2 linked regions of the Sus scrofa genome follow. The protein of the gene in region 1 purifies or fractionates together with the protein of each later gene. This does not show direct contact. Links are inferred from orthologs where the notes say so. Each region holds a gene or a part of one and is shown on either strand. Other genes may lie near its edges. The genes, in order: PRMT8 and EWSR1.

Region 1 (3,813 bases):
TATAACCTCATGGATACTAGTCAGGTTCGTTACCTCTGAGCCACGACAGGAACTCCTGTCCTTTTAGTTCCAGTTGAGGAGACATGACTCTTTCTAAACCTTGTGACAACATAATTGGTTTACTATCCTGGAGGACCAGCTTGTGTCACTGAGAACTGGTGCCCTTGAAATGCAATAGGACAAAACAGCCGTTTGGGGACCAGATAAAACACTGAAGAGTTTGGGGTCTTTTTTTTTTTTTCAAGGGAGCAAGTTTTCAGCTGATAAGCCATTATGAATACAGATGTGGGTGTGTCCTCTGCCAGCTCCCAACACGCACATCTTGCCCCATATTTTACTTGATTGGAAGGAGAATCGATATGATGTTGAAAAGTTTGAGGGGGATGAAAGCCAGGCTCAACAGGAATAGCTTAGCAGGAGAACAGTGATCCCTGCTCCCAGATGGACTTTGGGGATGACTAACCGCCAGCAGCGTCCAGCCACTGGGCCGGCTCTGCGAAACCTCAGCCCCCTTCATTTGCCACTCACACGACCTTCATTCTCTCCCTGCTTCATCTTCCACCAAAGGCACTGCTCATTTCTTCTCTGAAGCACCCCCCCACCCCTTGGGACCAGGGGAAACATCTAGAGAGAAGAAGCCAGAAAGGGTCACAGAGGCCCAGTCCAGCAGCTGTGTCCACAAGACCCGTTGCCAACCCCGGGCCCATAGGTCCTTCCCACCACAAATACACACACACACACACACACACACACACACACACACACACAGAGAAAGCCCAACAATCAAAAGGTGACTTACAGTGGATTTTGAAGTCCTTGTACTGTCTGTCTTCGATTGCTACCACGTACAAAGCTGCCCGGTCTGGAAACATAAGCCCTCCAGGTTTCTGTTGATGAATTGTGGGGAAATGGGTCTCGTAATCTATTCACCTGACAAAGACATCACATTTTGAACGGCACATCGAGTCACCAGACAGGCACCCCCTTGCCAGCATTTCTCATTCCACAGACTGCCGCCTTGGCCAGGGCTGGGGTTGGGCTGGGCTGGGCTGCTTGGTTTTTATTTTGGTACCAGGGAACCTTCAAGAGACCTAGGGGTGGGGGATGGGGGGCAGCAGAACAAATGAAGAGGGCAGAGGTCTGTCCAGTGAGGGGCGGTGGAAGACGTTCTGACTTTGGGGCTTGGGGAAGCCAAGGTCAAGAGCACGCTGCCCTCTTTGGCAGCCAGGCAAGTCCTTAGTCCATGTTGACCAGAGCAGACTTTGGACACCAGAGCATTATGGCAAAAGAGGCCAAGGGGGACATGTGGACCGGGGGACGATCATTCTGTCCCGGGATGCTGACCTGGTTTAAAGAAGGGGGCCTGGGAGCTAAGACCTTCTAGCCTAGGTCCTCTCTGAAGTCCTCATAGTCGTTCTAGGCTGCAGGCCAGGGGGTGAGCAGCAAGGCAGCCAGCAGACCAACGAGGGGACAGCATGCAGCATGCTCACCAGCCATTTGTCCCTGGCGAAGATCACTGTGTTGAGCATTGACTCGTAGAACAGACAGTAGCCCATCCACTCGCTGATAATAATGTCCACCTTCTCCACGGGCAGCTCCACCTCTTCCACCTTCCCCTTAAAGATTGTGATGACTGGAAAATAAGAACCCCACAGCCACACTGTGCAGGGACCCTGGCCGGGAACCATGAGCCCCCACCACCACCACCACCACATCAGAACATGCTGATCTACAGGTGCCAGCGCTGTGCTGTTCTGATCCTCCTTCTAGGTGGCAGCACACCTGTCCCCTCACCAAGCTCCTTTAGACTAAGAGAAGTGAAAACTCCTTGAGTGCTTCCTCTGCAGAATGCATTGAGCAGCTCCTATGTGCCTGGGACTGTGCTAAGCCCATGACAGGCACCATGTCATGTAATCATCCCAACAAGTCCTTGAAGGAAACACACTGGGTTTATTCTCACCTAGAACCTGTATGGAAACTGAAGCTTGGAGAGGAGAAACGGTGGCTGTGGAAACAGAGCCCAGGTATGATAAGCGACGATTCTCACACTCGTTTCTGGGTCCTCACCCCCACGTCAGGCTACCAGTGATGATTCAGACCCACAGAAGGAAGAGAGGCCGCCTCTGCTGCCCTGTTCACAGCCCCTGCTTGGCCCCAGGAGGTGTCCACCTAGGGCTGGTGGGGAAGGCAACTCCGTGTTTTGGCAGAAAAGCATGGGCTGTGCGCTCAAGAAACGTGGGCTTAAGTGAGCTGGATCGTCTCATTGTTGGCTGTGTGACTATCCGCAAGTCGCTTGACCCAACCAAACTCCAGTTCCCCAGAGAACACCCAAGGAAAGTGACATCTACTCAGTGGGAGGCTGTACTGATTAAATGAAATAGCACAGGTGACACGGGGGCTCACGGTTGGGGCTCTGCAGAAGGCATGCGTTATCTGACACTGTCTCCTTGGTGACCAACAAAGAGGTAAAGCGGGTAGGATCAGGACAGAGCCCCTGTTCTAAGCGGCCTCTGCCTCTGTGTCCCTTCCAGGACTGTCCCATCCCTCTGTGGCAGGAGAAACTTCATTGAGCTTTTGATCATTTGACAAGGATGTACACTTAATTTCGGAGCCTTGTTTTGCATCCACGTCTATAAAGATCAGAGCAAAGCTATCTTAGGTGCTGCTATGCAACTGACAGGGTGATGGATTGGTGGCTGGTTCTATCAGAATGTTTCCTGTGAAAGCTTACACGTGTCCCTGCTCTGAAACTCACTCTGCACCATCCTCTGAAGAAAACCACACAATGCCTGTGCTTTTCTGGGCCAACTAAACAATGGTCTGTACTCGGGAGTGAACAACAAAACAAAACGCCACCTCTGTCCTTGAATGTGAGTTTCATGAAAATCAACGTGGATGGGAGAGCTCTAGGTGGCAAAGGGCATCAGGCTTTACTCCCCACCTTCACAGCAGGTGGTGCTGGGGACAGCGTGCCTGTCAGTGTCTAACGATGATTTGCTCTCCGGGGTGTGGCGTTTCATCAAAGCTTAATCAGATAAGGCCTCTCTGTAAGGAGTCAGACGCTTGGCCCTGATCACTCCCCAACTTGCGTGACTCTCCTGCTTCACACATGTGAAGCCCGACCCCTGGGAAGGGAGATTCGGAAGGCTAATCTTCACCAAAAGGCTTGGGAGGGGGGAGTCAAGACCCAAGACCTAAGAGCAGGAACTCAAGCAAGGACCCAGGATGCACCAGGAATCTTCACAAGGGGACAGAGTATGGGATTTTGGCAAATGCAAATAGCGTACCTCATTTATTTTTTATCCTGAAAAAGAACTGGCAAATAGATGCTGGACCCACCTGCCTAATCACTTGCCTGCAAGACTTGTTTGTCTTATTTTTATAAACACTTGAAAGTGTTTTAACAGCCTCCCTTTTCTTTCTCTGTGCACATTTTCTGAAGACTCTTCCCTGATGTCTGCACGTGGCTGTGGGGCTCTGGGTCAGTCCCTCCTCCTGCATTAATGGTGACCTTCCTGAGGCCCAGGATGATGTCTTCTCCTGCCTCTAGTGCCCCAGGACCTCCACCTGCGTGCCTAGGACAAGGCTCCCCTGTGATTCCAGAGACAGGACTCCAGGAGCCCTGGGGGAAGCGAAGACAGACAAGAACTTATAGTCTGGTCCGACAGAGAGGGACGGACAGAATAACACTCCTTGGGTGCCCTGCAGAGCGAGTGAACGCTGCCCCTGTCCTCTGCACTGGCCTCCCCCCCATCCACTAGCTGCTCTATCCTGATGCATCTGGGCACAACAGAGGATAGGTAGATAGATAAA
Region 2 (3,813 bases), on another chromosome or scaffold:
AGGCGCCCTGCTGTGCTATAGGGTGACTGTTTTGAGCAACAAAGTTCATAACTCCATGACTGATGAGCAGGTAAACAGTATTAATTATTCCTTAACAGAAGATTTTACATATTTAAGCAGTGCACTTAGATGTCTTCTCCGTATAGTCTTCAAAGAAACATTGAATCTGGTTACAAGAGATCAACTTGTAACCTAGATTTTGTCTACTGTAGAGGTAAGAAATTAGCTCTGGCAGACACTCATGAGATTACTTCTGAAATGCACTGTGGGTAATCAGAGTGAATTTAGTAGTTTACATCTGCTAGACATCCTATGCAATGGTGAGTGTTACACTGATTCCTGTACGGCCCCAATTCGGTGGACCTAGCATGTTCTCCTATGGTTGAAGTCCCATTTGATACTCCATTGCAACAGTAAATCCAAGCCATAGCTGGGGTGGGGGTGGGTAATATATTAATTGGTCTGAATAAATCATCCCTTTTGGTTCCTTTTGCTTAATTTTTCAATCCTTAACACTTTAAAACAATTGTCTGTCTCATGATCAGTGACAGCTACTCTTCCACTGGAAAGAGGGGGCTTGTGACCATTTCAGCTCTTTGGAAAAACCAGTACTTCCACATCCTCTCTGGTCTACTTGCTGACTCTTGGACTTTGTTTAAAATAGCTCAAGTTCACTTGCTACAACCCTGTTACAAACTGTTAGGGCTAGGGGGTAACAGAAACCTTGGTTTTCTCCTTGGGATTAAAGTTGATTTTTGTCACTTAACTAGGATGTCTTTCAGTTCATCTGAGCATGAGAGGAGAGTGTGTGTTAGTCTGTCTGCCTCTCTGTGTGTGTGTCCCTGCTATTTCCATTATGGAGACCTCAAGGCAAATTTAGATTAATGTATAGAAGTTCAAGTTAGGAAATGGTTTTTTTTTTTTTTTTTTTTTTTTTTGGTCTGTTCTTCATAAATGAGAAACTGACCCACAGATCATCCAAGCTTGTACATGCCATGGACTTAAACAAATGTTATTCTAGCCTAAAGTTTGCATTAAGTTTTTTGTTTTGTTCGTCGTAAGTTTGTTTGTCCCTGACAGTCTTTTTTTGAGAAAAGGCATTTTCTTCCTGAACAAACCTCCTCCTCTCCCAGATCTCTTAAATTGACAGCACATAATACTGTAACTACTTTCTATAGTTATTGATAATGGAATAAATGGAGCGTGTTAATGTCTTTTCTGTGGATGTGATTAATTCTCCCCCATCTTTAGCGTTCTCTTCCAGCGGAAACAGTTGGACCAACAGTGGGTTTGATGTATTTATTTTAAATTGTATTTATTTTCCAGACTCAATTCTAACATTCCTTATTGCTCATAGATTGTAGTGTTCTTATCCAAGAGTTTTGTGGTTGAGAAAAAAGTCTTCACTTTTTTATTTCCCCTTTTAGACCACAGGATGGTAACAAACCCGCTGAGACTAGTCAACCTCAATCTAGCACAGGGGGTTACAACCAGCCCAGCCTAGGATATGGACAGAGTAACTACAGTTATCCCCAAGTTCCTGGGAGCTACCCCATGCAGCCAGTCACAGCACCACCATCTTACCCTCCTACCAGGTCAGTCTTCTCACTCTTCTTCTTGTGGCCAATGAGCTAGTAGAATAAAAAAACAGATTTTTTTCAAGCTGTTGACCTGCCTGCTTCTGCTTCCTCAGGTGAGATATATTATCTGACTCTCCCAGTGATAAACCAGACCATGTATTGTGGATTAAAATCTTAGTCCTAGGTTCTGACAGCCAAAAACTTTGCTCTCTGAATACAAAAACATTTTTACCACTTTAGGTTCGTTCTTTTAATTTTGTTCTTTTAGTTTATTCAGATGAGAGACAAGTACTTGAAAGCAGGTAAACAGAACCATGGAAGCCACCTTCTCGAATACAGTTGGGTAAAGTGCAGGACATTATTTTAGAAAAAGAAACTTCACCTTAATAATTTTATATTGAATTTAACTCAGAGGTTCATTCATGCACCAGTCTTTTAATGGTTAGGCCAAGGCTTTTCTTTTTTTTTTTTTTTTTTTTTTTCTTCTTTTGGCTACACCCATGGCATGCAGAAGTTCCTGGGCCAGGGATTGAACTGACACCACAGTGGTGGCAATGCCAGGTCCTTAATTCACTAAGCTGCCAGGGAACTCCCTAGGCCTTTTCTTTTGACTAAGGGTTTCCTTGTTCTGCATTTTTGTCTTTATTAACCACACCAGCAGCTACAACAAAAACCAATTTTGGTTTGTTTGGGTTTTTTGGGGGGGTTGTGGTGGAGGATTTTTGGTTTTTTGCCATTTAGGGCCGTACTCCCGGCGTATGGAGGTTCCCAGGCTAGGAGTCAAGTCAGAGCTGTAGCTGCTGGCCTACACCACAGCCACAACAACACAGGATCTGAGCCACATCTGCAACCTACACCACAGCTCACAGCAACACCAGATCCTTAACCCACTGAGCAAGGCCAAGGATCAAACCTGCGTCCTTATGGATGCTAGTCAGATTTGTTAACCACTGAGCCATGACGGGAACTCCCAGTTTTGGTTTCTGTATAAAGTTGTTTTACATTTAATTTGATGCAGATTTTCAAGTAAATTGTCTGAATTGTGTCAACTTAGCTTTGGTAAAATTAACAGTTCCCTTTTTTGTACTCATTTCATTGGTTTATGCATTAAAGTGCAGCAGACATGAACAGGTTTAGGAGCAAATACAGCTGACTGGGTAAGTGTGTCTGTATGCTTGGAGCAGCAATGGGCAGGGCTTGAGCAGTTCTCCCCAGGACCCACCCACACCTGTAAGCCTGAGAGCATTTCATCTGGCCACTTGGTGCACTTGGTGTGAAGAGAGGCTTTTGAATACTTACAGCTGTGGTGAGGGAGGTAGTGATCGAGTCTTGGTTTAAATGTTCTTAGAATTGTAAAATATGTTGTCTTTTTGTCTGGGTCGGGGGTTTTTTGTTTTTGCTTTTTAGGACCACACCTGCTGTGTATGGAAGTTCCCAGGCTAGTGGTCGAATAGGAGCTCCAGCTGCCGGCTTACGCCATAGCCACAGCAACTCGGGATATGAGCCACGTCTGCAGCCTACACCACAGCTCACGGCAACACCAGATCCTTAACCCACTGAGCAAGGCCAGGGATCAAGATACCCAAGAGCTCATGGATATTAATCAGGTTTGTTTTCACTGTGCCACAACAGGAGCTCTCCTTTCTTGTTTTGTTTTTTTGTTGTTGTTGTTTTTTTTTTTTTTTTTTTTGTCTTTTTGTCTTTTTTTTGTTGTTGTTGTTGCTGTTTCTTGGGCCGCTCCTGCGGCATATGGAGGTTCCCAGGCTAGAGGTCGAATCGGAGCTGTAGCCACCGGCCTACGCCAGAGCCACAGCAATGCAGGATCCGAGCCGCGTCTGCAACCTACACCACAGCTCACGGCAACGCCGGATCGTTAACCCACTGAGCAAGGCAGGGACCGAACCCGCAAGCTCATGGTTCCTAGTCAGATTCATTAACCACTGCGCCACGACGGGAACTCCTCCTTTCTTGTTTTTTATTACCATGATTCATCTAGAGTTTAATACTAGTTCTCTTAAGCTTTATTTCTGTGTAAGAATTTACTTTTGGTTAGTGTCTCTGCCATGTAGTTGGTATATGTAATGATGAATCTCAGTCTAACATTCATCTTTCATACAGTTGCCATGATTCTAATGTCCTCTGGCCCATCTTTTCTTGGTTTTTTTTTTTTTTTTTTTTTTTTTTCTTTTTGCCTTTTCTAGGGCTGCACTCGTGGCATATGGAGGTTCCCAGG

What was found.
Region 2: the proteins of PRMT8 (region 1) and EWSR1 purify together in Homo sapiens (affinity purification with mass spectrometry; 3 studies listed by BioGRID and IntAct, counting the BioPlex papers as one, with this or other methods). This does not show direct contact. The link is inferred for Sus scrofa from reciprocal best matches to the Homo sapiens genes PRMT8 and EWSR1.

Annotation. Positions count from the first base shown.
Region 1 is NC_010447.5:66,688,121-66,691,933, forward strand, and holds part of PRMT8 (protein arginine N-methyltransferase 8), read right to left. Parts: intron 1,634-3,813; coding exon 1,491-1,633; intron 888-1,490; coding exon 800-887; intron 1-799. UniProt on the Homo sapiens protein: S-adenosyl-L-methionine-dependent and membrane-associated arginine methyltransferase that can both catalyze the formation of omega-N monomethylarginine (MMA) and asymmetrical dimethylarginine (aDMA) in proteins such as NIFK, myelin basic protein, histone H4, H2A and H2A/H2B dimer.
Region 2 is NC_010456.5:46,421,996-46,425,808, forward strand, and holds part of EWSR1 (RNA-binding protein EWS), read left to right. Parts: intron 1-1,427; coding exon 1,428-1,595; intron 1,596-3,813. UniProt on the Homo sapiens protein: Binds to ssRNA containing the consensus sequence 5'-AGGUAA-3'. Might normally function as a transcriptional repressor. EWS-fusion-proteins (EFPS) may play a role in the tumorigenic process.